Drosophila melanogaster: one gene and its partners. The protein of the gene in region 1 purifies or fractionates together with the protein of each later gene. This does not show direct contact. Each region holds a gene or a part of one and is shown on either strand. Other genes may lie near its edges.

The links. Proteins that work in one complex are often made in the same cells at the same time.
Region 2: the proteins of Prosalpha7 (region 1) and Pomp purify together in Drosophila melanogaster (affinity purification with mass spectrometry, with the first as the bait; one large-scale study listed by BioGRID). This does not show direct contact.
Region 3: the proteins of Prosalpha7 (region 1) and CG13319 purify together in Drosophila melanogaster (affinity purification with mass spectrometry, with the first as the bait; one large-scale study listed by BioGRID). This does not show direct contact.

Annotation. Positions count from the first base shown.
Region 1 is NT_033778.4:9,846,136-9,852,823, forward strand, and holds Prosalpha7 (proteasome alpha7 subunit), read right to left. Parts: upstream 1,702-6,688; 5' UTR 1,583-1,701; coding exon 1,562-1,582; intron 1,504-1,561; coding exon 938-1,503; intron 771-937; coding exon 596-770; 3' UTR 501-595; downstream 1-500. Other genes in the region: Orc6 (origin recognition complex subunit 6), read right to left, coding at 1-138, 195-259; CG1671 (uncharacterized protein), read left to right, coding at 1,990-2,015, 2,075-4,412; PCB (pyruvate carboxylase), read right to left, coding at 5,002-5,250, 5,319-6,348, 6,413-6,688. UniProt on the Drosophila melanogaster protein: The proteasome is a multicatalytic proteinase complex which is characterized by its ability to cleave peptides with Arg, Phe, Tyr, Leu, and Glu adjacent to the leaving group at neutral or slightly basic pH.
Region 2 is NT_033779.5:20,783,910-20,790,712, forward strand, and holds Pomp (pomp), read left to right. Parts: upstream 1-3,746; 5' UTR 3,747-3,873; coding exon 3,874-3,876; intron 3,877-3,940; coding exon 3,941-4,206; intron 4,207-4,493; coding exon 4,494-4,629; 3' UTR 4,630-5,189; downstream 5,190-6,803. Other genes in the region: vari (varicose), read right to left, coding at 5,338-5,514, 5,677-5,751, 5,812-6,143, 6,216-6,426, 6,482-6,643, 6,713-6,803.
Region 3 is NT_033778.4:12,920,173-12,926,278, reverse strand, and holds CG13319 (uncharacterized protein), read right to left. Parts: upstream 2,376-6,106; 5' UTR 2,331-2,375; coding exon 1,932-2,330; 3' UTR 1,928-1,931; intron 1,858-1,927; 3' UTR 1,615-1,857; downstream 1-1,614. Other genes in the region: NAT1, read right to left, coding at 3,222-3,400, 3,469-5,294, 5,420-6,106.

The DNA of each region.
Region 1 (6,688 bases):
GCCTGCTCCTTGTCGAAAGCGATCCCAATCATGCAGGAAGCGAGATCCGCACACAGCACTATCTTTCCGTACTCGTTGATCTGCAGAGGGACATTCGTGGAGCGCAGTTCCAGGAGGCGTACTAGTTCGGTGGTTTTCCTGAAAGGATTCGATCTTACTGGGTAAACCTTTAAAACTATTTATTTATCGCTTACTCTAGCACGTTTGGCTCCTCCCTTAGGCCCATTTTCGTAATTAACTGTTCTATTAAGGTAGTCATTGTAGTTATTAACAATAGACTGAAATTCCAGTCGTGCGTCGTTAAAACCAAAATAAAGTACAACAAATGGCGCGAAATGCATCAGCTGTGAGCGATAAGGTTTTTCTTTGTAGCAATCGAGGTTTAATAGCTGCAGGCACATTCAAAAGGAACCAGATCCGATAACCAGCGAGCCAATATATTTATATCGAACGATAACTATTAAAGAATGAGAGTATAAAAATATAAAAACCTTAAATTTCACCCGATTTTGTTTATTCATTTTGCGCTTTAGGGAAATATAAAATTAACATTATGTATGAGGCCCAGAATTAGATTCACTGGCACACAAACGAACTAGTGCGTCTCATTGTCGCTGTCTTCGTCCTTGTTGGCCGCATCGCCGGCTTTCCTCGCCTTCTCCGTCAGTTCTGAGGGATTTATGAGATGTAGGCCACCGGTTACCCTGCCCACCAAACCCATTTCGAAGCGGAAGTCCTTGTCCTTCAACTCGTCATGGACTTTGTAGATGCTAAGACATAGGATAGATATGTTAATTATGAATAAAAACCTAGATTCTAAGTGCAATAGATGTCCCAAAAATGCTTCCTATTGTCAGAGCAAGTAAGTTTCCACTCGGAACTAGGATAAAGCCCGCCCGATTTTTGAAACAGTCCCTTTTTTTTGCTGTAAACGTACATTTCACCAGCGCTCTCCACCAATTCGTCGGTCCTCATATCCATCTTGAGCTTCTCCATCTCAGTCTTGGCCAGCTGCTTGGCCTTGCCGCTGGCGCAGGCGAAGTAACCGAAGGAGGAGCCGGACGGCTCGATCTTGTAGAGCTGTGGCCCCTCTACTTCGTCCCAGGAGGCGAGAATGATGGAAAGTCCGAAGGGGCGGACGGCACTGTACAGAGTGTAGGCGTGAACGTAGCCGGCGACTCGGTGGCACAGGTGTTTAAGCGGGATAGCCTGCTCAAATTGCTGTCTGTAGTTGGCTGCCTCCTGACGCGCAATGTCAGCCACAAAGTTTCCATCGGCCACCAAGCCGGCCACCGCCATTCCGATGTTCTTTTCGATGGTGAAGATGCGTCCGCCGGCGTCTGGTTCGTACAGTTTACTGGTGATGATCTTCTCCACGGCCAGCACCACGGCGTCCTTGCCCCGAATCCCGATTACGGTGCCGCTCTTCTCCACCGCCTTTGAGGCGTAGTCGATCTGGAAAACGCGGCCATCAGGCGAAAACTGCGAGGCCGACAAGTCGTACTGGAAGCGAGAGGGTGACGTTAGGGATCTGCAGATATGTAGTTCGCTGACCACTTACTCCAGTGCCAATAGTACTCATAGCGAAGACTTTGTGAAAATTTAAACAATTCAAACGCAAAAATTAGTTTAATTCCTTGGGTCGAATGCGACGATGATTTGACGGCTTTTACTTGGCTAGTGGTGGACAAAACAAAGGGGCCTATCGGTCAAGGAGGTTCGATAGTTTCGGAACGACTATCGTCAATAAAAACCAATCGTATACCAATCGCGATTTTTTCAGATAAAATTCGAATGATTAAAAATAAATCACCAATTCATGGTACTTTATTTATTTAGCACAGTTGAAGTTAATATCATTCTTTTCTTTTCTACTTATACATTTCGAATATCCCCTTACATGCTCTGTAAAGTAACATTTCGAACTAGTTCCGTTCATGTTCTGATCCGCGGCGCACGCGGTTTTTGTATTTATAAACAACGAAAATCATGCTGGCGGGTATCAGCGAGAAAAGGTAACATAAACTTAATAATTACCTGATGATTGCAAGACTACAACAATTTTAAAATCCAGCTATGCGGCGGAGGCCCGCTACACGAACTTCTACGCCGGCGGCGACATCGCCTGGAGCCCGAATGGCCATCATCTTTACTGCCTCAATGGCTCAGCTGTAAACCAGGTGGATGTGCAGACCTCCCAAATCCTAAATAGCTACGGCTTGTCTTCCCCGTCGGCGGATAACAAGAGGCCGGCGGAGCTGGACAATATCGATGTGGAGGAGGATACGATTACTTGCTTCGGGCTGTCACAGGAGCATCTGGTTACTGCCCATCGAAGTGGCCTGCTTAGGCTGTGGCAGCTGGACACTGGGAAGCTGGTGAAGCTGTGGAAGGCGCAGCACAAGGGACCAGTCATCCGAGTTGAGTTTAGTCCCTGCGGCAGGCTTATCTGCACCAGCGGCGGTGCAGATGCCACACTGAGGCTGTGGGACTACTCGAACAACAGCTGTCTGGGTGCCCTCAAGGATTTCCCTGGTCCCGCTTGGCTCCTCGTCTTTCATCCCAATGTGCTGCGCAAAGAGATCTACGCCGGAGGTTCGGATAACACTGTCTATGCCTGGAACTACGAGACGAAGACACTTGTGCACAAGATGCGAGGTCACCTGTCGCAAGTCACCGGCTTGAGCTTTAAGAGCAACGCGTCCGACTGCAATGAAATCGTGACTGTAAGCCGGGACAAGGTTATGATCGTGTGGCAATTGCAGGAGCAGTTGGAAAGCAAGCAGTTGAAGGTTCTTCCCTTGTACGATGAGCTTGAGGGAGTCGTGTACGCAGACGAGGGACAACTGATAATCGTGGCGAGCGGATCGGGCAAGCTGCAACAGGTCGACCCTAAATCTTGGAAGATCAGGGATATTCTTTCTCAATCTGATTTCCAAATTAGTAGACTGCTGCACTGCAGCGAGCTAAAACAGCTGGCCCTGGTCACTACAGAGCAGAATATTTTGGTCTACGACGTTGAAACCCTGGAACCCATTAAACACTTGGTGGGTTACAACGACGAGATCCTAGACATGTGCTTTATGGGCGAACACGATCGCTACCTGGCCGTTGCCACCAACAGCAAGCACTTCAAGCTGTACGACACGGAACACGACATGAATTGCAAGCTGATCGTGGGTCACTCGGATACGGTAATGTCCCTTGCTGCATCCCAAAATCTGCTGATTTCGGTGGGAAAGGACTGCAGCGTTCGGCTTTGGAGGCTTCAGCACGACAAAGATTGCTCGCTTGAGGCTCTGACTCAACAGGCCAACTGCCACACGTCCACTATCGGTTGCGTGGCCATGACGCACAACGGAGCTACTGGCTTTGCATCCGTGAGCCAAGATGGCAGCATGAAGGTATGGCAGCTCGTCAGAAGTAAGGAGGATCGCAACTCGTACTCTTTCAACCTGCGCTACGCAGCGCTTTCCCACGACAAGGAGGTGAACTGCGTTGCATATGCTCCGAATAACAAGCTTATTGCTACCGCGTCGCAAGACAAGACGGCTAAGGTGTGGCTGGCGGAGTCCAACACGCTGCAAGGAGTGTTGCGGGGACACACCCGCGGTGTGTGGAGTGTGCGCTTCTCTCCGGTGGATCAGATCGTGCTCACCTCATCGTCGGACTGTACTCTCCGCATCTGGTCCATCAGCAATTTTTCGTGCATAAAACGTTTCGATCAGGAGTGCACCATACTGAGAGCCGAGTTCCTGGATCACGGCAAGTTCATTATCTCCGCTGCTTCGGATGGCCTTCTTAAGCTGTGGAATATCAAGACCAACACATGTCTGCAGTCCCTGGACGAGCACAACGATAGGGTTTGGGCGCTGGCCGTATCCGCCAGGAGCAATCGGTTCTTTTACACCGGCGGCGCGGACTCCAAGCTGATTCGCTTCGGTGATGTCACTCAGGTGACGCGAAACGAAGCGCTGGACAAGCGGCAGGCCGCATTGGAGCAGGAGCAGACCCTACATTCCCTTCTGCACGCCCAGAAGCAGCTTCACAAGGCCTTCGTGTTGGCTCTGAACCTGGACAAGCCCAAAGCCAGTTTCGATATTATCAACCACTTTGTCCGCAAGCGAGATGAGCCCGGTCTCCGGCAATTGGTTGACCAGTTGAACGTTGACCAGCGGGTTGCGCTGCTGCAGCACGTCAAGGCATGGACCACCAACTCGCGCCATTCGCAGGCGGGCAACATGATCCTCAAGTACTTGATCGGAGATGCTCTTCTGGATCCCAAGGCGAGGTTCTACTACAATGGCAACATGGTCGAGGTACTCACTCCGTACGTCCAGAGACACTTTAAGCGGGTCACCGAGCTGAACAAGGATCTGGCTTTCCTAGAGTTCATTGTCAAGTGCATGTAGGCTTTAGCTTCGGAGCCGTTTCATTCATGATTGTTAACTTAATTCAGTTTAATTAATTTTAGGAAAAAAATAAAGTAGATAACCATACATTACATATTTGTTTCGAGATGTTTAATCACCAATTTCACACTACAAAAACCAGGGCGTTACTTTTTATTTTGTATAACGTTTATTACACAATAGTTAATATAACATTAATAACCACTTACGTATTTACTAGAGGGGGAATCTCGACACAGGTGTTTGCGAATTAAAAATTCCATAATCGTACAAATTTGATTCAAATGACTTGCGGGAAAAGCCCTACGACAAATTTACAAATATACTTGGGCACGAACTTATGCAATCCGATATATTTTGGCAGGGACAGCTAAAAAATTTGACCAGTTACTCATGGTCGATTGATCCTGGAAACACGGAAACATGAATGATTTTGATTCATATAAAAATAGACACAGGCGACTTTGGACAGTTTTATGATCAATCGAACTGACAGAGTCCCTAAGATTATCACTGTTTTCACTTAATTTTACATTGGGTGTGTGCGGTGGCAGCTTAGACAATGGACATTTTGATCCGGTGGCACTGTCTATTCGATAATCATAATGAGGTCCTCGCCCTCCAGCTTCGTTCCGTTGGCAATTTCCAGCTTCTTGACAACGCCCGCCAATGGCGACTGCACCACCATCTCCATCTTCATGGCCGAGAGCACGACCAGAGGCTGACCCTTCTCCACTTTGTCGCCAACCTTCACGCGGATATCGATGACAGTTCCGGGCATGGGGGCGCCCACCTCGCTCTTGTTCGACTTGTTCGCTTTGGGATGGACATGGATCTCCTGCGGAAGAAGAGCAAGCAAATGATTCCATTGCCTAAAGATCACCGATGACTGCTGACTGAACCTACCTTAACGGCTTCCTTGTCCAGGATGTGGACCGCGCGCAGCTGGCCATTCAACTCAAAGAATACCTCGCGGATACCGTTGGGCTTGAGATCGGCGGACACAGCCAGAGCTTTCACGCTCAGCGTCTTACCGCGCTCCAGAGGTACGTCGAACTCCTCGCCCACCTTGGGACCCGTGAGGAAGATGCGAGTGTCCAGCTTGTCGACGGGTCCGTACTTTTCGCGGAAGTTTAGGAAATCATTCGTCACCTGCGGGTAGAGGGCAGCTGACATGACATCACGGTTGGTGACGCAGGTGTGAGACTCCTGCAGTTCCTTCTTCAGCTTGTCAAAGTCCAAGTCCTTCAGTTCGGCTCCCGGACGTCCCTCGATGCGGGGCATGTCCTTGAGCACTCGCGAACGCAGCGGCTCGGGGAATCCGCCGTGCGGAATGCCAATAGAGCCCTGCAAGTACTCCACCACCGACTTGGGGAACGACAGCTCCTCGGCCCGCTCCAGCACTTGATCGGCGGTCAGGTCATTCTGCACCATGAACTGGGCAAGATCACCTACCACCTTCGACGAGGGCGTCACCTTGATAATGTCACCCAACAACAGGTTGGCCTCACGGTAGGCCTTCTTAACGTCCTCGAAGAAGTCGCCCAGACCCAGCGAGAAGGCCTGGAACTGCAGGTTGGTGTACTGGCCGCCGGGAATCTCGTTGAGGTAGACATCGGCGTTGCCCGACCGCATTGTTGTGGTGCACTCGAAGGGAGCGTACAGGGTGCGGGTCTGCTCCCAGTAGGCGGAGTACTCCGACACCGTGCGCAGATCCAAGTTCGTGTCCAGCGGAGTGCCTTGCAGGGAGGCCACTACGGCACCCATGCTCGGCTGGGAAGTCATGCCGCTCATGGAGTCGACGGCCACGTCCACCACATCGGCTCCGGCATTGGCGCATGCCAGCATGGAGGCCACTCCCGCTCCAGAGGTGTCGTGGGTGTGGATATGGATTGGGATGTCGGGGTGCTTGTCACGAATGGCTGTGATCAGAAGCCTTTCAGGGGATGGAAACAAAATAGTACACAACAGAAAAAAATTAAAAACCCCTTCAGACTCACCTGGCGGATTCGGGCTTGAGCAGACCAGCCATATCCTTTATGCAGAGCACGTGGGTGCCCGCCTTGACCAGCTCATCGGCAAGGTTAGTGTAGTATTTCAGATCATACTTGGTGCGCTTGGGATCGCTGACGTCTCCGGTATAGGAGATGGCAGCCTCCACCACGCCGCCCGCCTTTCCAGCGGCTTCCATGCCGAGGATCAGGTTGGGCAGGTAGTTGAGCGAGTCGAACACCCTGAAGATGTCCATGCCGGTCTGCACAGCCAGCTCACAGAAC
Region 2 (6,803 bases), on another chromosome or scaffold:
TCGATCTACATGCGTGTGAATATAGTACATCAATAGATGGAATGCAAGGAATGCCCGTCACAACAAACATGGCGATCTAAAGTGCCAGACGATCGGATCGTACATATATGGTATAGTACACAACTAGCACTTATAGTCTAGTATGGCACCGCCTAGAGAGATTGTACCCGGCTGCGGCTCTTAAGGGGTTGATTTATAGGACCTGCGATTAGCAGAATCGGAAATGTCCAAGCCGATGCGAGGTAAAATATACGACCTGTCCAGATTTTGATACAGCGGGTTTCCAATCGAACAGGACCGTGACCGAATCGGAAAACGTTTTTAGATTAAACAGCAGCGGAGTCAGGGTTTTATTTCGTTTTCATTTCGCACTGAAAATATTTGGACTTGTGTGTCAGCCAAGATGCAAAATACCCCCTCCCGGGGAGGCACCGGCAACCACCAGAAATAAAGCAAAAAACCCAAAACACATTCCCCCGATAAAGGAAGTGGACTCCGTTTTCACACCTACACGCTAAAAAATACATACCAAATTGGGAGCGGACGACTGCAGTGTGTGTTTGCATTTGTTTCTGTTTCTGTTTCGGTTACGCCACATGCACATGTCGGGAGATCGGCAGAGATATGCATTGCGTGTATATATGTATATGTATATATATATATCCCCGATTTGGTGGAACTCGGCGGCACAACCCGTTCCATTCTGGTCGCTGGCCTTTGGTCATCCTGGCGTATCGAAATGGTTTTTGACTTTTGCCGACGCCTTTTGTTTTCGTACACCCTCTATTTTTCCTGGCTACTGCATTACACATGCCGCTGCCAAAATTACGCCGAATTCACAGCTTATGTCTTGCGTCCGCCATTTCAATTTGGGATTACAGCATGTCCTTATGTCCTGGCATTTTCAAAAATGGATGAAGTGCATCGCCGAAACTGGCCATCTCTCCTCACTCAGCCGCTTGATTTATGGCCCAGAGTATCTCGATTCACGAGAAGCCAATGGCGGAGGGGGATCCTAGCGAATGGGAGCCATAAAAGTGCGGAGCGATCTTACTCAGATCACTCACGAACGGGATATTCGTTTATTGTGCCCATGCACAGAAAAAAGAGAGTACAGAAAACTAAATAATGTATTAAAAACCTTAAACAATTATATTCCATATTTGAGGGAGTATGTTAAGATCCAACATTTTTTCTCTTTTCTCATGTGCAATGTATATTTCTTAAGAGTTCCAAGAATAAGAATTTCATATTATATGTTACTTAATATTATATTATTATATCATTAAAATCCTTCGATTTCTTAAACTCAACATTTCGTTCAGTACCTGGCAATATGGCTGCTAATAGGGTCCAGCTCGGTTATACTGCCGCAGCTACAGCCCAGTTCCTCGTATCTTAATTGGCACCCAGAGGAGGTGGCTCGTCAAAGCGGCAGCGACCCCTATGGTTATAAAAAAAAAGAAAGATACCGGATAGCCCCGGGCCTGGTCCGGCATAATGCCCAATCATCTCGACGACCATCTGCTTACAGCTGCTCCCTGTTCTCTGATCGCCGAATCCCGATCCCAGGTCCAAGACCCATTGTCCTCGTCTTCCGCTGCGTCTTGCAGCCATAAAAGTTTATGGCAGCCGGGAAAAGTAACGAAACATTCGAACTTTTGGTGCCGTTAACGAAGCCTCCTGCTCTTTCGATTCGATCCAAGATCAATTCCCAGTGGAGGTTGTATGTCTCTATTAGCGACGACAATGGCGGACGGAGGGCAGCATCCAGCGGAGACGGCCTGCAGAAGATTGTAAATTTTATACCATATACGTCATACAGAAATGGGTGTACTGGTGCACTGAGGGAAATCGTGCCCTCGGATGCCTTTAAATAACTCTTGAAAAGCTGAAGAAACATCCTTTTATTTTGTACTTCAATTTAAAGAAATCATCTATTGATCATCTTTTGGAATCTCTTGCTTTTACCCATTAATTTCTCTGAGTGCGTATAAAATAGAAGAGAAATATCAGCCCAATCAAGCTGTTTTAAAAGGAATTCCCTCATCTGAAGAGTCCCCTAGTTGAACCCACGACTCTTCTCTTTTTTGAATACACATCTTCGACTTTTATGCATTTATTGCTGTGAAAAAATGTTAATTCTCGACGTTATATTTTTATTTGACTTTTACATATCGATCTTCTCGCCCTGAGATCTCCATCTCCATTCGACCATACATAGTTGGCTCTTGGCCATCCTTATGGCCATATATTGGACTGACTGAATTGGTTGATTCGCCTCGTACTGGTCTACTGTGTATTAATTGGTCAAAGGCAGTAAAACAGAAAGTAAACGTTATAAATCAATCGTGGTATGAGTTCTTTTGAACTCTTCAAGCGGCAAAATTCACAGGGAACTGAAATGATTGTATTAACAAATAAGTCAAAGGAACGATGCTAGTAAGCTAAAATCGATGCGAGTAATTTGTGTTTATTCTAACTTAATTTATTTATAGACTTATAGATTAAATCACCATAAGTTGCATCCGAAAGAATCGCATCTCAAAGTAATAAAAACTAACGATATTTTTATCAACTCGACGCCATAAATATGCCCGTTGCGATATTCTTATTGTAAATTCTCGAATTGTCTGCTGATTAAATTTACTTATCATTTTGTCAGTTTCTTAATATAGAATTCATTCATTAAAAATAGGGCTGATCTTTTAAATTATCTAATACGTTTTTGTATCAATACTATAGCTATACATGCTATAAACTATTTGACTTTGTATTGCAATGCTCATCCATACCAATATTAAAATGATTAAAGTTGTAAATTACAAAGCAGGAATGTAGTTCGCTTTTTTCGCACTGTAAAATTCAGTAAATGGGCATAAATCATAATTTACGTACTACCTTTTAGTCTAAAGTGAAGGTGAAGATCCATCCATCCGGTTGATGTTTCCATTTGGATTTTCAAGTTCAGATTGGATAGGATCGGATCGGTTGGCCGGAGACAGTTTGGGCTATTGTGTGCGGGAGTTTGATTAACACAACATCCACTGGCCGAATCTTTATTAGTGACCATGCACTAATTAAGCCCTGTCGTGTGATTTGGTCTCCTCGCATTCGCATTCGTTCGCGTTTGTCACTCGATGCAAATGAATCGCGTCTCTGTGGAGCAGAAGATCATAAAAGCCGCTAAAAGGTGTGGGTGAAAAGAAAAACAAAACCCCGGCCAGCCAGCCAGCGGATTCAGTTCTTTTGTTGATCGAATTGATTAGAGCTGCGGCCGAGATCGATACGTTTGTATATTTCGGATGTGCGTTGCTGGCCAGCGAGGGTGTAATTAATCACAACACTCAAGTTCGTCACTTGACCGAAGTGTTAAGTGCGCTAATAACGCCAATTTGCATAGACCGACTTTTACCCATCAACACGATTACAATTAAAGTGTATTTCAAATAGTGCTGCGTTGTTGCTATATATATAGAAATATTTTGTTTAAATAATCAAATTGGATTGGAAAATTTGGAGTTCATAATTTCAAATCGAAATTCACTTGTCGGACATGCCGCATTTTTGTACCCTGCAATGGTTTGAAACCGAGCTAAAATTTATGTGGGTCAAAATGGATTGAATCCATGTTAGCATTGTCTGGAGCTGCCATCCTGATTTCTACACATGTAAAGAGTTGCCAGTCTGGTTTCTACACTACTGGATTCTATTCTAGTCGATAAGTTGCTTTCTATTCGATTATCTTGTCAATTATCGTCGATATCGAGTAGGCATCGACACAAGTACCAGCTCTAATTCGCACGGAATTTGTTTGTCATTCAAGAAACAATTATAATTCGCCGCATTTTTATTCTAAAAGCGCTTACGAATATGGTAAGTACCTCGCCGAGTGCATTTAGTAGAGCCGCTAACGAAACGAAAACCCCTCGCAATACAGTATCAGCCATCACTGAAAGTCCAGCCCGCCGAGGTGTCCGTGCTGAACGCCACCGGCCGTGTGGGAATGCCCACCGAGGCCAACTGCCTGAACCAACTGGCCCACGTCCACCGGCTGCGCGACTCGGAGCTGAACTACAACGAGCACCAGTACAACCGCAACATGCAGATGCTGCGCAACCACGAGGGCCTCGGCGTGCCCCTCAAGATGGGCATGGAGCGCTTCGCCGCACGTCAGGTGGGCCGCCTGCCCTTCCTTTCGTCCAGGTGAGCATCTAGCCCGGTCTGGGAGCTTCTCAGTCTGGACAGGAATCTCTGCAAGGGCGGAAGCATTCAGAAATCTTCTGTTTCCACATTATAAGAATCCCGGAGAAACCTGAGATATCCTACAATCTAGAAAATCTAAACTTCTTGCCTAATAATGGATACCTATATACGTACATACATACATACGTGTATACCAAGTATACCTGTGATTCCCATAGTACCATTATTACCGAAAACCCAGCAATGACTACTTATCTTCTATATTAATTCTTTCCTTTATATTGCAGCAACTTCATGGACGATGTCCTGACTGGCCGCTGTGATTCCATTGGCTTCGAGGACTTCATGAACTTGCCCGAGAACAGCGAGCATATGCGTCAGCCCCACGCTGTGGTGGAGAAATCTCTGGGAATTTACCAATAAGTCCCTGCAAATGAAGTTGCTAAATGCCTGGCATTCAGCCTTTAAACTCTAAGACACTCTTAAGATCAGCAAATAAAATATATTTTGGTGCGACCAGCTAGAGGTAAACAAAATTCACCATTTCTTTGAGCCAAATTTATTCGTATTTCGTTTGTTTAACTCCACATCAATACATTTAACTAGTTCGTTAAACTTACACATTTTATTCAAACAAATCTAAAAACTACACGAAAATATTGGCAGAAGGTTGTTGTACTGAGGAGATTCGTTAAAATAATAAACTGAAGAGATATGCGTTGACATCATTCATTATTTGTAAAAATAAAACAAGAGATGGTAAAATGGACGAATTCGTTTCGTAAAATTAGGCTTATACTTAAGGAAAACTGAATTGTAAACGGAGGGCGCATTTCAACTTATACAAACATTGCATATATACATGATTTATATTTAAAGAGGAAAATGACAGTAATTGAGATAAACATAGTTAATAAAACGCATTACATTCCTCAAGCAAAACACGTCTAATCAACAATAAATATTGAAATCGCTAGCGTTTTAAATGCTCTTCGCTAAATTTGTATTGTGTTGCGAGTTTAAGCTTCAATTACTGGAATTATCCCTTTAATTGTGATGATAGGCATTCGATTTTTATAGTATATATTCTTCAATATGCATAAAGGCGCAATTGCAAAGGGTCATGGGATTCTAGTAGATCCAGTTGACAGGCACCCACTGCTCCTCGTGGCTCATCTGATCCAGCGTTTCCACCACCTGGCGGAACGTCTCATCGAAGTCCTCGTTCACGATGACCATGTCGAAGTATTTCTCATACTTGCGCTGGACGAAGCTGCTCTCCTCGACGGTGGCGACAAGGTCGTCGTCCTGTTCGGAAAAGTCATAGAAAGCGAATGTGTTAAGCAATGTTTGGGTATTCAGGCAGAGATCTAACAGGGCTACTAGGGTGGCCTAGGTGCGCCAAGCGGATGATTGAGTTGAGCACAATTTATACGACACTGTAATTAAGGATAGGTCAGGGCACATTACCTCATACAACGACGCTAGGGACTCGAGCGTACGGGCGCGTCTGGAGCTGAATCTTATGGAACTCTGGCGATCAAACTGTGGAATATGTGCTCGCATTAGAGGAGTGCCTAGTCTAGGGGGCTACGTGAAACATACAGATAAATTCCGGTTGGAGCCCGTGGCCCTGCGATCCGCATAGATGGTCTTGAGCTGCTCCATGCCAGGCGCTGCCACAAAGATGACAAAAGGCATCAGTTCCTGGCTGTTGTGCAGGATCTTCAGGGCATTCGGTGCACAATCCAGGATGCACATGCGCCCACTGTTGATCACATCCTTGATGGACTGCAAATGCGTGCCGTACAGATTGCCATTGTGCTCGCCGTACTCCAGGAACTCGTTGTTCCGCACGGCCTCTTCCATTTCCTCGCGGTCCATGAACCAGTAGCTACTGCCGTTCTCCTCCAAGGCGCGCTTGGGGCGACTGGTATCTGAAGTGGTTCCGCGAATACAATGCATTTATGAATATTCATATCCAAAATGATAGCTTAAATTGTGCTTACGTGGAATGACCGCTCCGAACTTGTCCACATCGCTGTTGATCAGCCGATTCTTGAGCGTACGTCTTCCCACCCCGGAAACACCGATGAGAACCAGGGTTTTCCTGCGGAACGGCGGCATCCGCGTGACCTCCTCATAGAGCAGCAGCTCCGCCTTGTCGAACTCGCAATTGGCCACAGATCGGTACATGGTCTTGCGCTTTCGCTTCGAGATCTGTTGCAACACACAATGTTTACTGGGTGCCCATTGCGATACTATGAAAACTCACTCTTGTTCCGCAAATGCCAATCTTGTGAACGTAGTCCGCCTCGGGGGCCACGAAGGCTTTGCGCCGCTCCTCCAGCTCTTGGGATGGTATGAGTCCAATTTTGTCAGATTCGGCAGTAATGTTCTTGGCCTGCCACCAGTTGGGATCCTTTACGTTGATGATCTGCAATGCCAGGATGATGTACATTGATCAGGATAACTAGATGGGTTGTTTTTTTTCTGACCAACTCACCTGCAAAATGTCGCCCGACTTGAAGGGCAATCCAATATCCCTGCATGGCAGCAAGGAATCTTCGGATGGATTGTATGTGAAAAGGGCACGC
Region 3 (6,106 bases), 3.1 Mb from region 1:
GGTTCCACGCGTAGTCCAGCCGGCTTATCGCTGCAGTGGGAACCCACTGGGGGCGCTGATATGACTATGGTAGTCCCGCAGAAGGCTAATTACTTTGTTGCCGCCAACGATAGACTTCCAAAGTCCATGTACCGCCAGCCGGGCCAGCCAGTCATCCAAGCCAGGGACATGCAACCGAGGCATGGAAGCCACAACTACTCGCACTCACATTCCGACCCGATAATTACAGATGGCTGCTCGAATTCGGCCGACTCGGATCTATTATTTATAGGGCGCTTATCGCCAGACAGCTTTTGATATGGCCAAAAAGGAAAAGTTATTAGGCAACTGGGGAAACCAAAAGCAGAAAAAAAAAAACGGGGGAAAAAAACATTCCAGACATTCGTGGGAGCCCACAGACCCCGGAGCGCAGACCTTCCGGCTGAAGCTCTATTTTTATACCCGTTCAATGGGTGCTGCTATTTTTTTTTTGGAGCGATATGCTCTTGTCGCTGTTACCACCACTGATACGCCTGACAATATCTCGTCTAGACTGGGCATTATTATGAGAGGCGAAATTTGTTTTTTTCGTACATTAGTGTTTTTCATTTTGTTGCTGCTCCCTCCCTCCCATTGGGTTGTTTAGCGGAAAAGTTTCAATGGCACCTCCAGGCGGTGTGATCCAACACAACCATAGCACAACGCTGCTGGGGGCTGTTCCATTAAAAATATGACTGGCATTCTTGGCGGGGGTAATTCAGACGTCTTATCAACCGATTTATATTTACGATTGGCGGGCAGGAAGTATAGCCAACTTTCAGTCTGAGAATGCCGATAGATAAAGGGCATTATGAAGGTGTCGCGTTGGTCCTTCAACTATCTATACCTGAGTATCAAACTGTTCAAGTTGCAGACTTTCTGTGACATAGAACCATTCTGAAATAGTGAATAGTGACTTGGATATTTTGGATATCGCAATCATTATAATTGGGAACTCATGCAGGAAGTGACATCAACTTTTTGCTCGTGGGTAATTAGTAAAGTTGAGAGTTCCTATAGTCAGTCATCACCAATATCATTTTTTCAAAAGCTAAACGAACTGTAACAAGAGATATAATATTTTCAACCAGTATTATTCACACAAATTTAGAAGCTTGTTAATCACATTGTGAATTGTAAACCCGCTAGTTAATACATACATTTGATAGTGGTATCCTACTAACTTTTCGAATAGTTCAAATTAACAACATAAAAACAAATCTAATGATATTATTTGTCAGAGGTATTCAGTGATCAAACTGAAATGGTACCCATTTGGAAAACTTCCGAATGATTATTACATATTAACTTCTCCCTAAACCTAAACATTCATTCGAAAGGGAAACCGAAACGGAGGCCTGATGAACAAACCGGCGCAATGCGAACACACACATATGTATATTCGAATTTAATACGATGGCGGGGAAATCACCTATCAAGCGATCATCACTGCAGCCAAACTGACCTTCAAATCATTGGGTGGTGAAGCAGCAGCATGAATAGCATGCGGGTGGCACGCGATCACTCACACAGCGGGTGACTTCTTCTTACATTGAGCACTGCTATCGCGACACAATTGATAAAGCCCACATGCGTCTGTAAACTTACTTAGGGCAATAAATTTATTGTACAAAATTCGTATCACCGATACACGTTTAAAGTTCGTGCTCACTCGGCCGCCGCATGACGTCTGAGCGGAGATCGGGAATCGGAGATCCCAGATAGTTAGCTGATGGAGTGCGTAGAGTACGTGAAGCTGCGTCCGTGGGGTAGCCGCCGGTCCCCGAAATAGACGTTGACCCCCACGCGGCGCCGTGTCATCGGTAGCGCAGGCGGGCCCTGTGTGCACGTGAACCAGAAATAAGTCAGCGATTGAGGATTAAATTTATGCCACACTAAGTTGTTGTACCCACTCAAGCGAAGTGCTCCAGATGGTCTTGCATGTAGGTGACTAGCGTCTTCTCGAACAGAGGGCCCATTAATCGATCCAGTTTGAGATTAAGGCTCACGTAGAACTGGCGGCAGTAGCGTTTACTCAATTTGGCGGCCAGAACAGATGAGTCGGTCTGCCCGTGTCCGCCCAGGATTGTGGAGGATAGGGACTGGCTGCTGGCGGGATTGCGAGAGGGCATGGCCACCGCTAGCTCCTCGAAAACCTCCAATCCCTTGGGGTTTATGATCAGCATGGTGCTGCCTTGCATTTTCAGGGCGCGCACGGTGAATTGCGAGGGACCCGCCGCCAAGTGGACGCAATGTGAGGTGAAACCACCAGACTCCTTCGCAGGCACAACATTCGCAGGAACGCTATCCATTAGTCGTGAATTTTATACATAAACAAGCAATATTCACAAGGAAAACAATGAAATAGCAAGTTTGACCGGAGCGGTGTTGCCAGATAACGAAACGACCATAGATAGCTTTTCAAAATAATCGAAAATTGTATCGATAGGCAGCTATTACAGAGCTTAGGCGCGGATTTTAAATTTGCATTACTCCCTCAAAAGCCAATGAAAGTCAGTTTGATTTCGCCGTTCGCAGTGTTGGTTGCATTTATTAAGGCTCTATTTAATGTGGGCGAGTTTTTTAATGTTTACGTTGGTTGAGTTAAATACATATATACGATATTTTGTTCACAATTACATTCAGATTTTGTTTTGCTCTCTTCGGCGCGCGTCGATTGGTTTTTCCTTTTCTATAATGTTAATGTTGTCGCTTTGATTTGACCTACTTATTTAAATACACAAAAGGGAAATCGTCGAGAGTACCAAAAAAAGGCAATTGAAATCAACGTTATTCGATTTAAAGATCAGTTCCGGTTGTTATGTTAAAAAAAAAAGATGAAATTCACTAATTATTCGTTATGCTTGAAATGTCAATGAGAATTATGATGTATGGATAAATATCGGTTATATTTGACGTCTATTGCGCTTTATTTATTGATAATTGATTGTTAATGTTCTTTGAATTTGTTGGATATCAAATAATTTTGATTAATTTTTTTTGTTTTGTTTTTCTTTTTTACTATAATTTGACTAAGTTTTGCAACCGCGATTTCAAACTTCCACCCTGATGGTATTTTGTTTCTTATTTTTCGTGTTTTGTTAGTTTTGTTGTTTTTCATCATGTAATCATTATCGATTTGTGAATAAATATTGGAAGTGATAAACATATAGCGCTGTTATTATGCGGGACTGCGTTGCTTTCTAATCCTCATCGTCCTCAGATTCGGCCTCCTGCAGCCAAGTCAACCAGGCGTTCACTTGGAACAAAGCGGATCCTTTGCCTGGATATTTGTCGGAAATCTCCTCCTTCCACAGGACGAATGCCTCCTCCTCTATAATTTCAGATTCGTAAAGATACTTGAACCAACGGCACAGCATGCCTAACGAAGAAAAAAGCAAATATAAGTTGCCGATAAAACAGATTAGATTTAAAATGTTGAGCACTTACCCTTGGGGAAATTTTCATTGTAGCAGAACGTTTGCAGAGCATAGAGAGCCATCAACTGAAGCTCGTTCTGTCCCAGGAAGGTCTGCAGCATCTGGCTGTAGTTCTCCAGCAGCTGTTGCTCCTTCTGGGTCACCGATTTCTCAGGGTGCTCCTTGGGGTCGAGGTTGTCCGCCAGCGTCGTCTCCTTGGTCACATACTTGACCACCACGGTCATTAGGGCTTGGATAAAGCCCGGGTCCTTGTAGTATTTGTTGTCAACGTTGGCCTTGATCCACTTGTAGAAGTTGTTGGGGTTCGGGTCGCTTTGCAGCTGTTTTAGCATCTCGGCCTGTACCTTCAATAGCGGATAAAGGAAAGAAAGCTTGCGATCCTCGAGTATCCCGGCCAAGCGCTCCTTGTTCCGATCCGCCTCCGGCAGGCTGTTCATAAGATCAACTTTGCTCGCCCGGAATTTCTCTTCCAGCGCATCCTTGCCGATGACCTTGACCAGTTGCTGCAGCACGAGCAGGAACAGCGGATAGTGTTGGCCATTGTCCGTGAAGTTGGCGATATCGCTTAACTTCAGCAATGCTGGCTCGCAAATTGTCTTTGCCAGCAAGCTGGCTACAAGACTAACGATTCGGGGATTGAGTGCCTCTCGCTCGTTCATCTTGTTGACCACCTGCTTGAAAATCTCGACCACGATGTTCGGCTTGATATTGGATTGCTTGCGCAATGTCTGCAGAAGGCGCACAGCACGCTCCAAGAAGACATCGTTTACACGGTCCAAGACCTCCATCAGCAGATTGATGCACACATCCTTCAGCGCCTTCTCTGGCAGCTTAAGCTCGAGGAAACCATCTACAAGCTTGGTGAAGCGATCTGGAGTGGTCACAGGTATTGCAGCATCTTCCTTTACCTCCGAGACTTCAACTGGAGCAGCGTCGGCCTCCTCCGTCTTTGTCTCATCAATATCCTTGATCTCAATTTCCGTCACCTCTGCATCCTCCTCCTCATCGTAGTAGAACCTATCCTTGAAGTACTGACTGGCCTTCTTAGACAGCTCCTCCTTGTTGGGACCCTTATCTTTCTTTTGTTGCTTGGCCGAGCCAATACCGCCGGCCGGAGTGCTTGGTCTCTCCACGGAGCCATTCTTGCCCTGATCTTTGCCGTCGTGCGATCCCTTTCTGCCCGCCTGACCGTCTAAATCCAACTTCTCCGCTCCTGATGAAAAGTTCGGCGAAGAAGAGGTGGCCTTCAATCCCCTCTCCTGTTGAACTCCCAAAAGAGTTCGGTTATCAGCATACTCAGCAGATGGTGTTGACGAGGGACGCGTTGGATTGATCAGATGGGATGTGGGCGTGCCGAGCATAGGGTAGTGGGAGTTCGAGAGCTGGCCCTGCGAGCTGCCCTGGTTGTTGCTGCCGCTGCTATTGGGCGGTGTTGACATGGGCAACGTAGCCGGAAACTTTTGGTTCTGGGAGGCCGCTCGGAAGAGCAAGGAGTTGGCTGCCGGGCGCATTTGCAAGTTCTCCACCGCATCCTGGTTCGTGGTGATCAAGTTGCGTTTGAACCTCGGTGCCAATTCCTTACTACCCAGCAGCTGATTGCCCCCATACTGTCCGTCATTGCGATCCCTGTCACGATCGTTATTCCTACGCGAATCATCCCGGTCCCGGTTGTTGGAGGATCCTCCGCCACTGCCTCCTCCATTCTGGTTGTGCTTGTTGTAGCGATTGCCATAGTTAGCTCCGCCGCTACCGCCCTGATCGCGATCCCTGTTGCGATCGCCTCGATTGTTGTACTGGCGATTGTCGCGGTCTCGGTCACGATTGCTCGTAGCGAACCTGAAATTGTTTAAAATTAGGTTTTGTACTTTCAAAGAATTTAATATAATGTGACTACTATTCAAACTATACACCCGACCAGACAAAAGTGTGTTCATTACTCCCATGACGTTCACAATACTTACGGCGAGACAATCGGAGAAGCTCCCGTAACACTCAGTCCGCTAAACATGTCATTATAGCCGCCAGGCTGGATATTCAGATGGAAACGATTCATCCAGCTGTCCGAGTCACGATCATTGTTGCGCATATCACGATTGCGATTGGGGAACGGAGTGCGTATGATTGAGTCGTCATCCGAGCGTATTTGCTTTATGGGGACGGGGCCTTCGGTGGTGCCCAATTTGCGCGGCACCCAATTGTTCTGGCGCAATTCAATTACGTCCTTTAGCATAAAACGTATCCGCGGTGGATATTCAGATGATTTTGACCGACGTTCAAGCTTCTCGAAGTACTGGTTCATCAGCTCTTTGCCCTGTTCTGAATCCAGATTCTTGCCGCAAGTCTTGAGCAGTTGAGCCAGGCATTCCATGTCCTCGCACATTTCCTGCGTACCGGCCGTACGCTTCTTCTTCTTGTCAAATAGCTCCATGATGCACTGATGCAGCACGTTCTTCGACAGCATGTCCAGCTTGTTGAGCTCTCCGATGAATTTGACGTTGCCGAGCATGCGCTGTTTGGCCAAATGGCGGCGCTCCTCCTCGTCGGCCTCATTTTCAGGCGGAGGTCTGTTGTCGTTCTCGTCGCGCTTGAGTCGGTTGTTGAACTTGTCGCGGCAGACCGCGATCAGCAGGCGTAAGAAGGTGGACGAA